5 linked regions of the Callithrix jacchus genome follow. The protein of the gene in region 1 interacts with the protein of each later gene in a biochemical or structural test. Links are inferred from orthologs where the notes say so. Each region holds a gene or a part of one and is shown on either strand. Other genes may lie near its edges. The genes, in order: CASP7, PTGES3, BIRC2, PANX1 and PARP1.

Evidence for each region.
Region 2: of the proteins of CASP7 (region 1) and PTGES3, one has a biochemical effect on the other in vitro, tested with the Homo sapiens proteins (2 studies listed by BioGRID and IntAct). The link is inferred for Callithrix jacchus from reciprocal best matches to the Homo sapiens genes CASP7 and PTGES3.
Region 3: the proteins of CASP7 (region 1) and BIRC2 form a complex in vitro, tested with the Homo sapiens proteins (2 studies listed by BioGRID, with this or other methods). The link is inferred for Callithrix jacchus from reciprocal best matches to the Homo sapiens genes CASP7 and BIRC2.
Region 4: of the proteins of CASP7 (region 1) and PANX1, one has a biochemical effect on the other in vitro, tested with the Homo sapiens proteins (2 studies listed by IntAct). The link is inferred for Callithrix jacchus from reciprocal best matches to the Homo sapiens genes CASP7 and PANX1.
Region 5: of the proteins of CASP7 (region 1) and PARP1, one has a biochemical effect on the other in vitro, tested with the Homo sapiens proteins (3 studies listed by BioGRID). The link is inferred for Callithrix jacchus from reciprocal best matches to the Homo sapiens genes CASP7 and PARP1.

What each region holds. Positions count from the first base shown.
Region 1 is NC_133513.1:106,662,746-106,666,266, reverse strand, and holds part of CASP7 (caspase-7), read right to left. Parts: intron 3,050-3,521; coding exon 2,874-3,049; intron 2,217-2,873; coding exon 2,087-2,216; intron 1-2,086. UniProt on the Homo sapiens protein: Thiol protease involved in different programmed cell death processes, such as apoptosis, pyroptosis or granzyme-mediated programmed cell death, by proteolytically cleaving target proteins.
Region 2 is NC_133510.1:62,989,730-62,992,361, forward strand, and holds the end of PTGES3 (prostaglandin E synthase 3), read left to right. Parts: intron 1-1,200; coding exon 1,201-1,311; 3' UTR 1,312-2,118; downstream 2,119-2,632. UniProt on the Homo sapiens protein: Cytosolic prostaglandin synthase that catalyzes the oxidoreduction of prostaglandin endoperoxide H2 (PGH2) to prostaglandin E2 (PGE2).
Region 3 is NC_133511.1:2,410,888-2,413,390, forward strand, and holds the end of BIRC2 (baculoviral IAP repeat-containing protein 2), read left to right. Parts: intron 1-366; coding exon 367-621; intron 622-891; coding exon 892-933; intron 934-1,035; coding exon 1,036-1,229; 3' UTR 1,230-1,994; downstream 1,995-2,503. UniProt on the Homo sapiens protein: Multi-functional protein which regulates not only caspases and apoptosis, but also modulates inflammatory signaling and immunity, mitogenic kinase signaling, and cell proliferation, as well as cell invasion and metastasis.
Region 4 is NC_133511.1:46,208,677-46,212,861, reverse strand, and holds the start of PANX1 (pannexin-1), read left to right. Parts: upstream 1-1,372; 5' UTR 1,373-1,817; coding exon 1,818-1,998; intron 1,999-4,185. UniProt on the Homo sapiens protein: Ion channel involved in a variety of physiological functions such as blood pressure regulation, apoptotic cell clearance and oogenesis.
Region 5 is NC_133520.1:22,865,374-22,868,894, reverse strand, and holds part of PARP1 (poly [ADP-ribose] polymerase 1), read right to left. Parts: intron 1,996-3,521; coding exon 1,851-1,995; intron 45-1,850; coding exon 1-44. UniProt on the Homo sapiens protein: Poly-ADP-ribosyltransferase that mediates poly-ADP-ribosylation of proteins and plays a key role in DNA repair.

The sequences.
Region 1 (3,521 bases):
ATAGAGGTAATTAAGATTCAATGAAGTCACTAGGGTAGGGCTCTGATCCAAGAGGACTGGTGTCCTTATAAGAAGAGACACCAGAGGCCTCACTCTGTCTAGGTCAATCTCTGTCATGTGAGAACATAGCAAGAAGGGACATTTATGAGCTAGGAAGGGGGCCCTCACCAGAAACTGACTGAGCCAGCAACTTGATCTTAGACTTCACAGTCTCCATAACTTAGAGAAATAAGCGTCTGTTGTTTAAGCCACTTACTCTAAGGTATTTTGCTATAGCAGCCCAAGAAGAACTGATATACTCTGATCCAGCCCTGAGTTTTACCAAATGCACTGGGGTATCTGGCCCCTCAGCACTCCATCTGACAAGCCATCTTTCTCTTACCCATGTTGTTTGAAATTTTAGGCTCAGTTACAGCAGCTCCTTTTTAACATCACTTTTCTTGCCCAGGTGGGGTGGCTCACACCTGTAATTCCAACACTTTGGGAGGCCAAGGCGGGCAGGTCACAAGGTCAGGAGTTTGAGACCAGCCTGACCAATGTAGTGAAACCCCATCTCTACTAAGAATATAAAAATTAGCTGGGCATGGTGGCGTGTGCCTGTAATCCCAGCTATTCAAGAGGCTGAGGCAGGAGAATCGCTGGAACCGGGAGGTGGAGGTTGCAGTGAGCCGAGATCATGCCACTGCATTCCAGCCTGGACGACAGAGTGAGACTCCCAAAAAAAAAAAAAAAAAAAAAAAAAAAAATATATATATATATATGATTAAAAATAAAAAATAAAACATGGTTTTTCTCATCTGCCTCCTTGCTCAGAGCACCTACAAGTCTACCACTGGGTTTGTTTATGCAGACATATGCCTCCATTACACCACCTCCCTCTCAAGAGCAGGAAGACCAAATTATTTTCTATCTTATACCATCCTTAAAACTTGTGAAATTATCGCTCTCACAAAATCCCATCTGTAGATGCTGCTAGAGCTGGTTTTCCAAACACACCGTCCTACTTACTGTAACCAGTACCTTTGTGCCAAACACTTGACAAAAGTACTAGCACAGCTGGGAAAATTCTAACTCAGTGCTGGTTTGTACCCAAAGCAAAGGAAGGACTTTCACTGTACAGACTCAGTCTAATGTGGCACTTGGTAAAGTGAGTAGGCTTGCCCATTACTGGCATTTTCTGGTACCTGTGTACAGGCTGCAGCGTAAAGGAACCTTGGTCTGAGCCACAGCTCCACTGCATACCGAAATCACGTAAGCTCATCTAAACTGAAAATTCTTTTATCTGTAAAATCAGGACAGCAATAATACCTTTCCTAAATATGTATGCTATTATTATAAGGATAATATGAGAAAAGACACATGAAAGATACTCTGTATTGTAAAGCACTATAGAAATGTTTGTCCTTATAATTACCAATAAGAATAATGATAATAAATAATAATAATAAATCGCTTGTCAGATGGAGTGCTGAGGGGCCGGATAGCCCAGTGCATTTGGTAAAACTCGGGGCTGGATCGCAGGGTGTGTCAGTCTTCTTGGGCTGCTATAGCAAAATACCTTAGACTAGGTGGTTTAAACAACTGATGTCTATTTCTCTACGTTATGAAGGCTGGGAAGTCCAAGATCAAGTCCCAAGTCAGCTTTCCTGGAGAGAAAAGGGAATGCACTTCTGTGGTAGGCAGAATAACGGTGCTCACAGATGTCATCCCCTAACCCCAGAATCTGTGAACATGAAACCTGCTGTGGAAAAAGGACTTTGCAGATGTGGTTGAGGTTATTGGACTGATGGGGAGATGATCCTGGAGTGTCCAGGTGGGTCCCATCTAATCACAGGAGTCCTTTCTCAGCTGTGGTCAGAAAGAGAGCACTGTCACAACAGAAGGGTCAGAGAGATGCAAAGTTGCTGGCTTTGAAGATGAAGGAAGGGGCCACAGCCAAGGAATGCAGGAGGTTCTTTGTGTATTTTCAGCCACTATGTTTGTAACGATGTATTACTGCAGCAAGAGGAAACTAATACAGCCCCCAAGTCTGTGTTTTGATGATGGAATGGACTGAAGTATGCTTAGTAGACAATAAACGTGATACCTGGCACCGTGGAATAGGCAAAGAGAAAGTCAGCTTCCACTGGGATCTTATATCGGGGATTAGCATCTGTGTCATTGATGGGCCCCGAATCGGCCTGGATGCCATCATCGAGCTCTGTCCCTCGGCAAGCCTAAGTATCAAAGCAGACATTAATCCATGCAGTTGGGGACAGACACGTGCATGCTGTTCACTGCTGTGTCCCAATACCTAGAACTGTGCCTGGCAAACTTAGGAACTCAGTGATAATCTGATGAACAGATGAATGAATCAATGTGTGTCAAATTACTAAGCAAAGCAAATAAAAGTACTGCAATGTCTTAAAGAAACCTTCATAATTTATGGTGGGTCGTGAAGTCTCACGCCTGTAATCCCAGCACTTTGGGAGGCAGCCAGGAGTTTGAGACCAGCCTCGTCAACATGGTGAAAACCCATCTCTTCTAAAAATACAAAAATTAGCCAGGCATGGTGGTACGTGCCTGTAATCCCAGCTACTTGGGAGGCTGAGGCAGGAGAATCACTTGAACCTGGGAGGTGGAGGTTGCGGTGAGTCGAGATTGCACCACTGTATCCCAGCCCAGGTGACAGTGTGACTGTCTCAAAGAAAAAAAAATAAAAAACCTTCATAATTTGTGATCCAGTGCAAACACATATGCCAACCATTCAGTGACAGAAAAATAAAACCTTAATTTTAATTTGGAAGAACACTTAGATTTGTAAAAATGATGTCATCCCGTCACTCTGTAATCTTTCCCCATTTTCAAGTGTACTGGCACTGAAAAGAGATTACCTGAATGAAGAAGAGTTTGGGTTTCTCTAAAAGGGTTCTGCATCTATCCCCCCTAAAATGGGCTGTCAAATCCTTTATTGGTGTGACACCATCTTTCCCATAAATTAAGTTTTCTTCTCCATGGCTTAAGAGGATGCAGGCGAAGCAGGCGGCATTTGTATGGTCCTCTTCAGAAGCTGCAAGCAAACAGTATGAACATTGAAGAGTTAAGGCTTTAAGTTCTTGGGGGCTTCAGAAGCAGCATTTCCAGAGGCAGCCTGGTAGCTGTCCCTGACTATTAGAGGGGAGTGGAGGGGAGGTCCCAGGAACTGGGCTCCTCTCAAAGCACCAGACTTATCTAAGAAGTTAAGAGGGAGGAATAGCGTATGGGGGCTGATGGGCATGGCCCTGCTGTTGGCTAGTTCCGTGATATCAGGAGTGTTACTGAACTATTTTGTGCCTTGGTTTCCTTAACCGTGAATTGTAAAACAGGCCATATAACAAACATCATGCACGTATATGTTAAAGAGAATAAAATATTATACTAAGTGAAATAAGCCAGTTACTAAAGGCATGCACTGCATGACTCCACTTTCAGGAGGTACCTTGAATAGTCAGGTTCAGAGAGAGAATATAGAACAGTGGTTGCCAGGGGCAGGAGGGAAGGCG
Region 2 (2,632 bases), on another chromosome or scaffold:
GGAGTTTGAGACCAGCCTGGCCAATATGATGAAACCCTGTCTTTACTGAAGATAGAAAAATTAGCTGGGCATGGTGGCGTGTGCCTATTCTCCCAGCTACCCAGGAAGTTGAGGCAGGAGAATCATTTGAACCCAGGAAATAGAAGTTGCAGTGAGCCGAGATTGTGCCGCTGCACTCCGGCCTGGGCAACAGAGCAGGACTCTGTTTCAAAATAAAAAAGGCTGAGTATGGCGGCTCGTGCCTGTAATCTCATCACTTTGAGAAGCCGAGGCTGGTGGATCGCTATAGCCCAGGAATTCGAGACCAGCCTGGCCAAAATGGTGAAACCCTGTCTCTACTAAATAGAGAAAAATTAGCTCGGTATGGTGGTGCATGCCTGTAATCCCAGCTACCCAGGAGGCTGAGGCATGAGAATTGCTTGAACACAAAGGCAGAGGTTGCAGTGAACCAAGATCACACCACTGCACTCCAACCTGGATGACAGAGCAAGACTGTATCAAAAAAAAAAAAAATACCAGCTGGGCGTGGTGTGTCATTGTTGTAATCCCAGCACTTTGGGAGGCCAAGGTGGGTTGATCACCTGAGGTCAGGAGTTTGAGACCAGCCTGACCAACACGGAGAGACCCTGTCTCTACTAAAAATACAAAATTAGTTAGGCATGGTGGTGCATGCCTGTAATCCCAGCTACTCAGAAGGCTGAGGCAGGAGAATCTCTTGAATCTGGGAGACGGAGGTTGCAGTGAGCTGAGATCGCACGATTGCACTCCAGCCTGGACAACAAGAGCAAAACTTCATCTCAGGGAAACAACAAAAAAAGAATACCATAATACACAATCTACCTAACTTAAGATAGAAAGCTTTGCAACTACAGATGAATCCCATTCTTTTCTTTAACCACCAGAGGTAACCACTACTCAAGTAGAATTTTTAATGTCTGTCATACATTGATACTTGCTGCATGAGTAGCTTGGTTTTTCTTTAGGGAAAATTTAGTTTTAATTTCCGTACAGGTTTTTAGGATTTTGTGTAATTACCTATAATCTACCTTTCACAGAAGGGAAAATGCTTACATTTATTTTGCATTTTTCATTTGTGGATATCTGTGGCAGACTTAAGGTTTATTCTGAAGCATGCAGCCTAATAATTAGGGCCTAACGTAACAACATCATTTTTTAAACTAATTTTTACACTTCAAATAGATGATGAACAACATGGGTGGTGATGAGGATGTAGATTTACCAGAAGTAGATGGAGCAGATGATGTAAGTCTAAAAGTTTTTTTTTCTGTTTACTTTTATACTATTAAATAGTAAGAAACAGCATATTACAGGTGGTTTTATAGAGATTCAGGATTACTTCTTATTTTGTAAAAAAAAAAATAAAAAGGGAAAAGCAGTTTTTAAAATCTGCCCATTTTTGAGGAATGAATATCTACTAGGGAACTGGTTGTTCTGTAGACCATTCCTAAATGGATCAGATTTCAAAAGAATCATTGTATAGTGACATTATATATTAATACTTTACTGAATTATAAGAGTCAATTTAGGCTGGGTACAGTGGCTCATGCTTGTAATTCCAGCACTTTGGGAGGCTGAGGTGGGCAAATCACTTGAGGTCAGGAGTTCAAGACCAGCCTGGCCAACATGGTGAAACCATCTCTACAAAAATTAGCCAGGCAATAATGGCAGATGCCTGTAATCCTAGCTGCTGGAGAGGATACGGTTATGAGAATTCTTTAACCCAGGAGGTGGAGGTTGCAGTGAGCCAAGATCACATTATTGCACTCCAGCCTGGGCAACAGAGCAAGAGTCTGTCTCAGAAAAAGAATCGGTTTATAGGGATTATTTTGACTAAGAAAGCAAGTTAAATAGGTTTAATGTCAGGATTAGTCAGAGACCAGTTAAACAAATGGACGTTGTAAATCTGTAAGAGGATGATATATTAAACTACTTTTCTGAGCATCTTCCCAACACCAGCATTTTAACAGCTCCTGGAAAGTTATTTAATACAGTTTAGAAAAATATGTAATATTCACTCAACAGCTAGGATTAGAGTTCACTGTTTTCTGTCAGTCCATTGTTCTTCATATTGAACCATGTTTTCTCTTTGAATGCCAAGATAGAATTTAGGGAGGGATTCAAAATGTGGGCTGAATGTCTCCAAAAGGCACACACTAGTTTTTAACAGGTAGATAGATCCTCTGCTGTACATCCATTCACCTTAGGTAAACCTAGTCTTAAGTCCAGTGACTAAATTTCTATGCTTGATGTACTTAACTACCTGTGCTACTTTAGATCAAAAATACAGCACTTGAACTTAAGGTAAACTGTTCAGTTAGCAAAGGAATATTTGGTCAGCTCAGTAACTTTTCTAAATTTTGCCTCTTGCAGGATTCACAAGACAGTGATGATGAAAGTAAGTGTATATAAAAAGTATGTTTACACAGTGATATTTTACATCAAAAACCAAACTCAAAAAAGTGATGTTAACTTTGGAAGAAAAGTAATTTTTTCTTTATGACCTCGAATAAATAACCAAAACAGAAATGTGAATTACTTGAGATAGCAAGACCACCTACCTATTCATTGGGAAACGATATATTTTTGATTTTTGGTTGCTTTTCCTTTAAGA
Region 3 (2,503 bases), on another chromosome or scaffold:
TTTAATTGACAGGATTGCTGTATCAAATGAGACAAATTACTATGAAAGTACTTACAAAAGTAAAGTAATTCAATGGAAATATAAGTCAGTATTATATAGGGGGGAAATTTTTACTATCTTTGAAAAATGTCTTTCAACAAACAAAAGTAAAAGTGGAATTCTAGGACATGTGACTATATAGACTTAAAAGTTACAGAAACATACTTCTCTGGAAGTTTTCCAAAACAACAAACTTTAAAATGCAAACAAGTTACTTTGTTTTTTGAACTTATTTAGTGCCTAAATTATTTGTAGATTTGGTTATTACTGACTATATAAGTGTAGTTAAAGGAGTTTAATGGATTTCTTTTTCTTTTTTTAATGAAGATGATTTGTCATTAATTCGGAAGAATAGAATGGCTCTCTTTCAACAGTTGACGTGTGTGCTTCCTATCCTGGATAATCTTTTAAAGGCCAATGTAATTAATAAACAGGAACATGATATTATTAAACAAAAAACACAGATTCCTTTACAAGCAAGAGAACTGATTGATACCATTTTGGTTAAAGGAAATGCTGCAGCCAACATCTTCAAACACTGTCTAAAAGAAATTGACTCTACGTTGTATAAGAACTTATTTGGTGAGTTTGTTGGGAGAATTATTTTAGAAATTCTTAGGACTATGTTCATCTCTGTTTGACAAGCAAATAAATCCAATTAGCAACGGTCTGTATTTCACTTGTTCCCAAAAAGCGGCCTTTTCTTTCCCAAGTAGTATGCCTAAATGTAACAGTTCTGATGATACATAGCTACGATCTACATCATTTCATAAATAGGTGAAAAAAAGAGGTAGTAGGTGAAGCAGTTTTGTGTTAGTAGAGTGATGCTTTTTATATGTTTTCTTTCCTCAGTGGATAAGAATATGAAGTATATTCCAACAGAAGATGTTTCAGGTAAAACAAAGATTTAAAACCAACAAAAACTATTACCCTTATTTTTTTTTTAATGGGAAATGAAGTGGAAACAGTTTCACTAATGTTATTTTTTGTTACTAGGTCTGCCACTGGAAGAACAATTGAGGAGGCTGCAAGAAGAAAGAACTTGTAAAGTGTGTATGGACAAAGAAGTTTCTATTGTATTTATTCCTTGTGGTCATCTGGTAGTATGCCAGGAATGTGCCCCTTCTCTAAGAAAATGCCCTATTTGCAGGGGTATAATCAAGGGTACTGTTCGTACTTTTCTCTCTTAGAGAAAAATAGGCTATATTTTAACCTGTATAAAAAAGTCTCTAAAATATTGTTGAACACTTGAAGCCATCTGAAGCAAAAAGGGAATTATTAGTTTTTCAATTAGTAACATTCATGTTTTAGTCTGCTTTGGTACTAATAATCTTGTTTCTAAAAGGTAATATCATATTTAATCTTAATCTGTTTATTTACAAGGGAAGATTTATGTTTGGTGAACTATATTAGTGTGTATGTGTGGACATAAGAGGAGTTAAGGGAGTTAGTGTCACGGCTTGTTATATATCATTTAGGGAATTACTGGATTTGGTATTCTTTCAGAAAGCTCTGAATACTAGATTACAGTGTAGATTAAAATAACTGGAAACCGGGAGCTCTGGAGTTCATCAGAGTTACGGTGCCAAATTGTCTTCGGTGCTTTTCACTTGTGTTTTAAAATAAGGATTTTTCTCTTATTTCTCCCCTTAGTTTGTGAGAAACATCTCAGTAAAGTGCTTTAAAACGATTGTTACCAGAATATTTTTTTGTCCTGATTTAAAAAGTAATTTTCATGTGTCTTCATTGTACTCAAATGCCAACTATTAAGTAAATAATTGCATTCATGAGAAATTATTAACAAGTATTTAAAAATAATGTTATTTGGGAAATTTCTTTAGATGACAGTTTCTTGTTGCTTTGTATGTTACAGATACAATGTTGGATGAAAAACGAATCCAACATTAATTTTGAAAAACTCTTAATAAATTAGATAAATAGTTGTTGTTTTCAGACATTTGTGTAATTGCTTTGTTGCATAAGTGTTGATGGGGCGAGGAGGTGGCATAAAGGCAATGAATGGTAAGTACCTCCTTTCTGGGTCCAGTCATATTTGACCTTTCTTAGATTTGGCTCTGGCAGACTTCTGAAGCCAGGTGGATAAGGAGGTCTAATATTAAAAACTCTCCGTTTTTCTTCTCACATCACAGCTCTTTTAGATTCCTTTAGAGAACACACGGGAAGAGTGAGTGAGAATTTCTGTATCCTCCAGCCTCTTCTCTTGCTTTTGTTTCTATCCTGATGTGCTGATGCATGTATGTAAGTCCAAATGCATATATACCTAGGTTCAAGGCCTCATGAGAGAAATGCTCTCCCAGCCATTAGAGAGGGAATTCTTTTTTCCCCAAATTCAGTTGACTCAGAACAATGTTAAAACATTGTTAACTTTTCTCTGCCTTTCATTCTGGCCTATGATAGCTGACGGGATAATTAGCTCCCTCGAGGAATCAAACTAAAAGTTCTT
Region 4 (4,185 bases), on another chromosome or scaffold:
TTGATTTTCTTGTGCACAAAGCATTTTAGCCTGTGTGTTGTCATCTGCAGCCTGTGACTGTAACCTCTGTACTATACCCTCTGAAAACCCAACTGTGATATGAGGGGTCCTCCTCCCTTCTCCTAAACTTTCTTATAAAAGCCTTCCAACGTTTAATAAACTTTGAAACATATCCAACTTTGTTGGTAAGTCTTCTTGGGTGGGTCCTCACATTTACCTTCCAATCAGTCAAATTATTTCCACCTCAATAGCCTTAATTTCCATGGACACTGGTCAGAGCATTTCCTCCTGTCTTTCTTTTTTTTTCCAATTTTTTAAATTGCATTTTAGATTTCGGGGTACATGTGTAGAACATGCAAGATTGTTGCATAGGTACACACATGGCAGTGTGATGTGCTGCCTTCCTCCCCATCACCTATATCTGGCATTTCTCCCCATGCTATCTCTCCCCAACTCCCCACCCCGCACTGTCCCTCCCCTATTTCCCCCCGACAGATGTGTGATGCTCCCCTCCCTGTGTCCATGTGTTCTCATTGTTCAACACCCACCTATGAGTGAGAACATGCGGTGTTTGATTTTCTGTTCTTGTGTCAGTTTGCTGAGAATGATGGTTTCCAGGTTCATCCATGTCCCTACAAAGGAAACGAACTCATCATTTTTGATGGCTGCATAATATTCCACATTTTCTCTGTCCAGTCTATCATTGATGGGCATTTGAGTTGGTTCCAAGTCTTTGTTATTGTAAACAGTGCTATAATGAACTTACTTGTGCATGTGTCTTTATAATACAATGATTTATAATCCTTTGGATATATATCCAATAATGGGATTGCTGGGTCAAATGGAATTTCTATTTCTAGGTCCTTGAGGAATCGCCACACTGTCTTCCACAATGGTTGAACTAGTTTACACTCCCACCAACAGTGTAAAAGCATTCCTATTCCTCCACATCCTCTTCAGTATCTGTTTTGTCCAGATTTTTTGATGATCGCCATTCTAACTGGCTTGAGGTGGTATCTCAATGTGGTTTTGATTTGCATTTCTCTAATAATCCGTTATGATGAGCATTTTTTCAAATGTTTGTTAGCCTCATATATGTCTTCTTTTGAAAAGTGTTCATATCCTTCTCCCACTTTTGGATGGGTTGTTGGTTTTATTATTGCATATATGTTTTAGTTCTTTGTAGATTCTGGATGTTAGCCCTTTGTCAGATAGGTAGATTGCAAAAATGTTTTCCCATTCTCTTGGTTGCCGGTTCATTCTGTTGGAAAATCCCTGCGTCAGAGGGTGGGCCCGAGGGGCGCGGATGCAGCCGCGCCCACCCCGCCTCGCGTCACCGCGTCTTCCGGAAACTCCACGCCTCTGGGTACTCGGTTTCCCCGGATGGTTCCGGAAGAGCCCGCAGCCGCTGGCGGAGAGAGCACGGCTGGCCAGGAGTCCGCTATAGTCTGGGCGGCGCGGAGGGGCCGGGCCGGAGGTTCAAGCGCCTGCGGGCTCGCTGGAGAGCTCGCATCCGAGTGCCGCGCATCCCCGGGGACTTGCACGGGCTGAGCGCGCTTGGTGGGACGGCGGGAATCGCCGCGCCCAGGTCCCCGCCCCGCCGGCCGCGGAGGCAGCAAGCGCGAGAGCCCAGCAGAGTCCCTGCGACCCGGAGGCGCTGAGACACAAAGGCAGGCGGGATTTGGGCGCAGCCGGGGAGTGGGCAAAGGGAAAGCGAAAGCCGCGCCCCAGGCCGGTGACGGGGTGAAGGCGCCGCGGAGCTCGCCAGACGCCAGCGGTATCTGGACCTGCCTGGCTGACCCCGGCGCGCCGCAGCCATGGCCATCGCCCACCTGGCCACGGAGTACGTATTCTCGGATTTCTTGCTGAAGGAGCCCACCGAGCCCAAGTTCAAGGGGCTGCGACTGGAGCTGGCCGTGGACAAGATGGTCACGTGTATCGCCGTGGGGCTGCCCCTGCTGCTCATCTCCCTGGCCTTCGCCCAGGAGATCTCGATTGGTAAGCTTCGCCCAGGTCGGAGGGGAGGGCCGTCTGGGTCTGGCCGAGTGAGCTGTGATCTTACGATTTTACGGCTCATAGGCCCAAGTCTGGGCACGCCCAACTGTGATGGTCGTAAATGTCAGGTAGGATAGTGGCCCCGGTTTTATAGTCCAAAGTGTTCTTTGCTCAGGTGTTTCATTGGTACTCTTGTCTACCCAGCTTTCATCCCTACTCCTCAGTTTTCTTGTTCCCTGAGACCCACTGATGGGACTGTGGCTTACAGTTCATGTCCCACCTTTAAAACTAGCACCTTGCCACCAGATTTGCCAAGAATAGCCGTGTCCCCTCTTTTCTTCCCTGTCTCCTACATACCTGTCCAGCCGCCTAAAATATTGTACCAGAGAAGTTCCTGAGTGGCCACATGGAGAATGTGAAGAACGCTGTTTCATGAGAAGTGTGTTCTTTCACTGTCTTATATTTAATTGGTATTTGCTGAGATAGCTCTGCAGGGCTGTGAATAATAGGAAATATTTGCACTTGGCAGGCATTAGAGGGATCCTTCATTTGGACGGTCTTATGAATGTGAGATGAACAAGTCCCCTTCCTGTAAATTCTCATGTGAGCTTCATAGGTGTTGTTTGAGATTGGAAAGTCTTCGTGGCTGCTCTTCCTCATCAGCTGTTCTAACTTTCACACAGGAGAGAGTTTTAGGAATCAACAGGAAGGTAGTGCAGGAGGGTTAAATACAGTTCTGTGGCGGGGGAACTGCCTAGTGTGGCTGGACTTTGGGGAAACTTTTGTCAGAGGGTGGGTGGGATTTGGCTAAGCAGGAGTAAGACCTTTGTTAAGGTTTTGAGATGGCAGATAATGTTATATGTTCCTGGAAAGAGAGACACAGTGACTGTCCTAGCCGGCAGGAGGATAAGTCAAGAGTTCCTGGGATCTGAGAGTGAATATGGGCCTGGGTCAGCCTGGAATAGAAGAGTATAGATTGATGGTTTCAGAACTGTGAAGTTTATTGTTTGAGCAGAGGACAGAGTGGTTGAAAACAATAGCATTACGTAAATACTAGCCTGTTGGTGGCATATAGGGTTTGGGAAGGAGGAGAGGATGGGACCTGGAGGGCCAGGTGCCTTAAAGCAAGAAGTCTGTTGAAGTCTTGTGCACAGATGGTGTGAATGGAAGAAAATGGATGGGTGATTGCTGTAAGATCAAGGAGTAAATAAGCAGCACGTGAGTACCTAGTTTGTAATAGGCCATGAAGGGCAGTACTGGTCAAACTTGCTGTGAAGGCTGTATATCTGGGTGAGTGGAGTGTGGTGTTGAGGGTGATGGGAATAGTGAAGTTGAGGGAAGAGTTGGTTAGGAAAGAGTGACGACGAGTGTGATTGTGCAATCTGCAGCACTAAGTTGTTCAGTTTGGCAGGAAGCTGCCAAGTTCATCGTGGAAAGTTAGTTTCTAGTTTTCCTGCTCTTTGCATAGGCATAGTCATTGAGATTTTCATTCGCTTCCCATTTGACAGTGAATTGAGGCTTCCAGCTGAAAGGAAAACCACCAAATAGCGTGTGTCCTGGAGATAATCTCTCCCTTCAGTCAACTCCTCATTGAGTTCTGGCTGTGTGCTGAACTAAGTGCTGACCTCCAAGGACCTGGGAGTAAAAGAGGCCTGGACCCTGTCTTGGAGGTGCGAGTCTTGGGTCCCTGGTTGGAACAGAAAGGCAGGAAGGAGGAGTTGATCGCCCTCTGTGACCAGTCTCCACCTCTAGTGCATGTACTAGAGGGATCCCTAAGGAACCTGCACCTGTAATGCCTTAAGATACATCTAAATTGGTGGGCTGCCTGAGAGGTAATTTTGGGTGATTAGGGGTGGTTTTACCTAGCAAGGGTGTGAGCTCATGCTGTGTGCATAGCACTGTTGTGTGCTGAGGAAGACGGGAAAGGGTTTTGAGACCTTGTTCTCGCCCTGCCCTCCCTCTGGCCTGTGGCAGTTTACTATGCAGTTGGGGCACTAGAACATATCTGTTAGCAGGTAACATTGTTCAGCTGTGTGTAATTCAGCACCCAAACAGGTATTGAGCTATGAGCTCCGGCCTGGTGAAGGTTGGCAGGCACTTGGGTGAGGCGCTATCGAGCAGAGTCCCATGTTTTCTGAAGGGTTTTCAGGAGTTCCAAGGGAGGACATGTTGCATTGAACTTAGCACAGA
Region 5 (3,521 bases), on another chromosome or scaffold:
CAGCTTCCCGAGGGTCAGGATCTTCATGTTGGATAACGGCTTACCTGGGGATGAAAGGACAAAATCATTCAGCAAGGCCAACTCTGATGTTGCTCCCCAGGAAGGGGAGGTGGAGAAGCCGATGAGCCAAGCAGCGAGCTCCTGAGGAAGCCTATGAAAATATGCTTGGAAGAAAACAGGATGGGACAGCAAGCTGCCATCTGAGCACCTACAGATGTCCCTTGACACAGAAAGGACTGGGCAGGGAGCAAGCCACAAAATGCCAATCCATGGCCAGGCCAGCCTTGCTGGCATGAACCAGGTAGGTGGGGGTTACCCAAGGTCAGCTCCATGGGCGGGCTAGGAAGGCTGCATCTGTGGATGAGGGACCAGGAGGCTGGAGTGGGATGGGAAGAGGGTAACAGAAGGAATTGGGGGTTCTTCCACATGATCCCCCCAATTCCTTCTGTTATCCTCCCAAACAAATTGCAATTCTTATTAATTAACCCCGTTTTAAAAGTAAGACATGTCTACGATAGCCCCTCCAAACAGTGGCCAGCACAATCACACTGAGGTGAGCCAACTGATTCTAGGCGAAAAGCAGCAGCCAGGTATGCACTGACCCAGGCCAGAAAGGCCTGGACAGAGGTGTGCCTTCTGTTCACAGCAAATAACAGTGCTAGTGACACATTTCCAGAACTGGAGATGCTGCAAAGAAAAGTCCTTCCTGCCTTCCCTGTAAAGGCAGACAACTAGTTAACACTGACAGTTTAGTTGAAACTGGTGTGGTCTCCAGAGAACAAAATTATTGATTTGTGCTGAACTGCAAGTCAGGGGAAAACAGAGGAGGAAACCCTCCAAGGAGGGGTCAGAATGCCAGCCCCCACCTAGCTCTTCAGGTGGGCACCTGGACCCAAGGCTGCCAGCAGCACAGTGGACTTGGGATGACCACACACACACACTGCAGTGACCACTGGTCCCTCTCAGAATATGAAACAGAGGTCAACAACAGATTTACGTTCAAGGACGGAACCCTCATCCTCCACCCACCAAACTGTGACCTTCACCATTAGACCATGCCACATGTCGCTGAGAAAATAAGCAGCAGGTCACTTCTGCCAAAAGAACACATTGCTCTCACTGTCTTGGTTGGCTTGGGGCGTAACTCCCTCTGCACACAACAGAGACTCGAGCATCACACCAGGGCCAGGATGACTGGCAGGCCCACCAGATGGCCTAAAGAGTGAGGCCTGGCAAGCTGCTCTGCAGTGTAGTCAGGAAGGAGACCTGCGTGCTATTCCAGGTAAGGCTGTCGACCCAGCCTTTCTTAGGAGCCCCCTCCTAGCATCCCAGAATAAGAGTCGTTTGCTTTTTTACCATGCTTATTTTATTTTCAGAGATCCAGTGCCCAGGCTGGAGTGCAATGGTGCAATCATAGCTCACTGCAGCCTTTACCTCCCAGGCTCAAGGAATCCTCTGCCTCAGCCTCCTTGAATATCTAGAGCTAGAAGCACAAGCTGCTACACCTGGAACATTTTAAGACTTTTTGTAGAGATGGGGTCTCGCTATATTGCCCAGGCTGGTCTCGAACTCCCGGCATCAAGCAATTCTTTTGCCTTGGCCTCCCAAAATGCTCAGATTACAGGTGTGAGTCACTGCTCCCAGCCGATGTTATAGTCTTAATATCCTCCTGCCTTGCTGTGGTTGGGCGTGTAACAAGTCAAAGCCCTGCAGGGCAAGGCTTCCCCACGGTGGGGTCAGCAAAGAGAGACCCCCGAAGGGTACTTTCTTACCAGCTCCATACCACCATCAAATAGTGGACAAATGATTCCTGCAAAGCAGCTCTAAGACTGGGGCCCCACGTGCTATACCTGCTGAAGCAGAGTTCACGGCAGCAGGCTTCGAGGCTGTGGAGGGCGGAGGTGCGGCAGCCACTGGGGCGCTGGTTTCTGGAGGAAATATACGGTTCTGCTTTTTAACCTTCAATTTCTTGAGGTAAGAGATTTCTCGGAATTCCTAAAAAATATTTAGTTTTAGTTAAGAAGCCAGCTCTCCCTTGAAGCAACCACCCCATAGACCAAAAAGGATTTGGCTTGTCCAAATTAAATAATCTCTTTTTTACTTCTTACAATGGAGTTTTCTCTTTTCTTTTTAGTTTTTTCTTCTTACAACAAACAATAGAAAAATGCGGGGCTTCTAGGATGAAAGATTCTATTACTGGGGCTATAGTATTTATTTCTGATATTTTTACATTTATAGTAGGGCTGGTATTGTGGCTGCTTTATGAGAAAAATCTTTCCCTTAAAAACAAATCAGCGGACAGTTAGGCCAGGGAATCACCCCTGGAACTGCTGTGTGAATACAGCCTACCTGGCCTCATTGTTGAGTTGTTCCCTTCAAGAGTTAATGGGGCTCTGTGGGGTCACACACCTACTCCAGAACTCCAAAACCCCCAACACTATATGCACTGGGAGATTATTACCCAAAAGGAAATCACAGTATTCCCTTCCCTTTTTAGAAGAAGGGAAAATGAATGCAGAGAGCCTTACAGTATTCACAACAAATTCTTCCATCAGCACAGTTCAATCTTCACTCCAAGTGATTTACAAGGGGCCTTGCTCTAAACGATCACTCAATAAATATCAAATACACGAGGCTCAGGGAAAGATCCAGGTCTTCATCTAATGAAAAAACTGCCCTTCCCAGCTGTGCCCACATTCAGGGTGCCAGCTGGATATAAGAGGTCACAGATTCTTTCCAGCACACACTGACCACCCTAATATGTGCTACTAATTACAGTTTGGTTAAAAAGACAGTTTATGCCCTTGAGAAAGTATCTCATTCATGACTGAGAGTCAGCTATATGAATGTAAACTTTTTTTTTTTTTTAAGAGATAGGGTTTCACCAAGTTGGCCAGGTGGCTGGTCTCAAACTCCTGATCTCAGGTGACCCACCTACCTCAGCTTCTCAAAGTGCTGGGATTACAGGCGTGAGCCACCGTGCCCAGTCTATAAAGGTGAACTTTAACACAGGAGCTAAGCTATGCCAGAGGCGTGCTAAGGTGATATAAGACAGGGAATGCTAGCATATACTTGGAGGCAGTGACCTGCTAAGCCTGCTGGGAACTGAAGACTCAGAAGACTGCCTAAGCACAGCCATCCGAGTAGCACCTGGTGGGATGTGGGGCACCATGGCTAGCTGCCCTATTGCTAGGTACTCCTAAAAAGAATGAGTTCTGCTTTAATGCCTCAACTAAAAAAAAGTATAAGCAACACTGGCGGTGGGTGAGGAGAGGAAAGTGGTATGTGAGGAGGAGGAAGAGGGTGGCAGAAAGAGGCTGCAGGGCTCTGAGGATAAGCTAGGGAGCTGGCCTTGATTCTGTGGGCCAAGTGCCTGGGGGCAACAGCCTCGATGCATAAGCAGCAAGTACTGCCACGCTGAAAACTTGCCTCGTGCATGTACATACCCTTTAAAAAGGTACAGATGTTCTGTAATTGATACATAAAACACAAGGGATCACATATTGCTTACTGCCATCTTA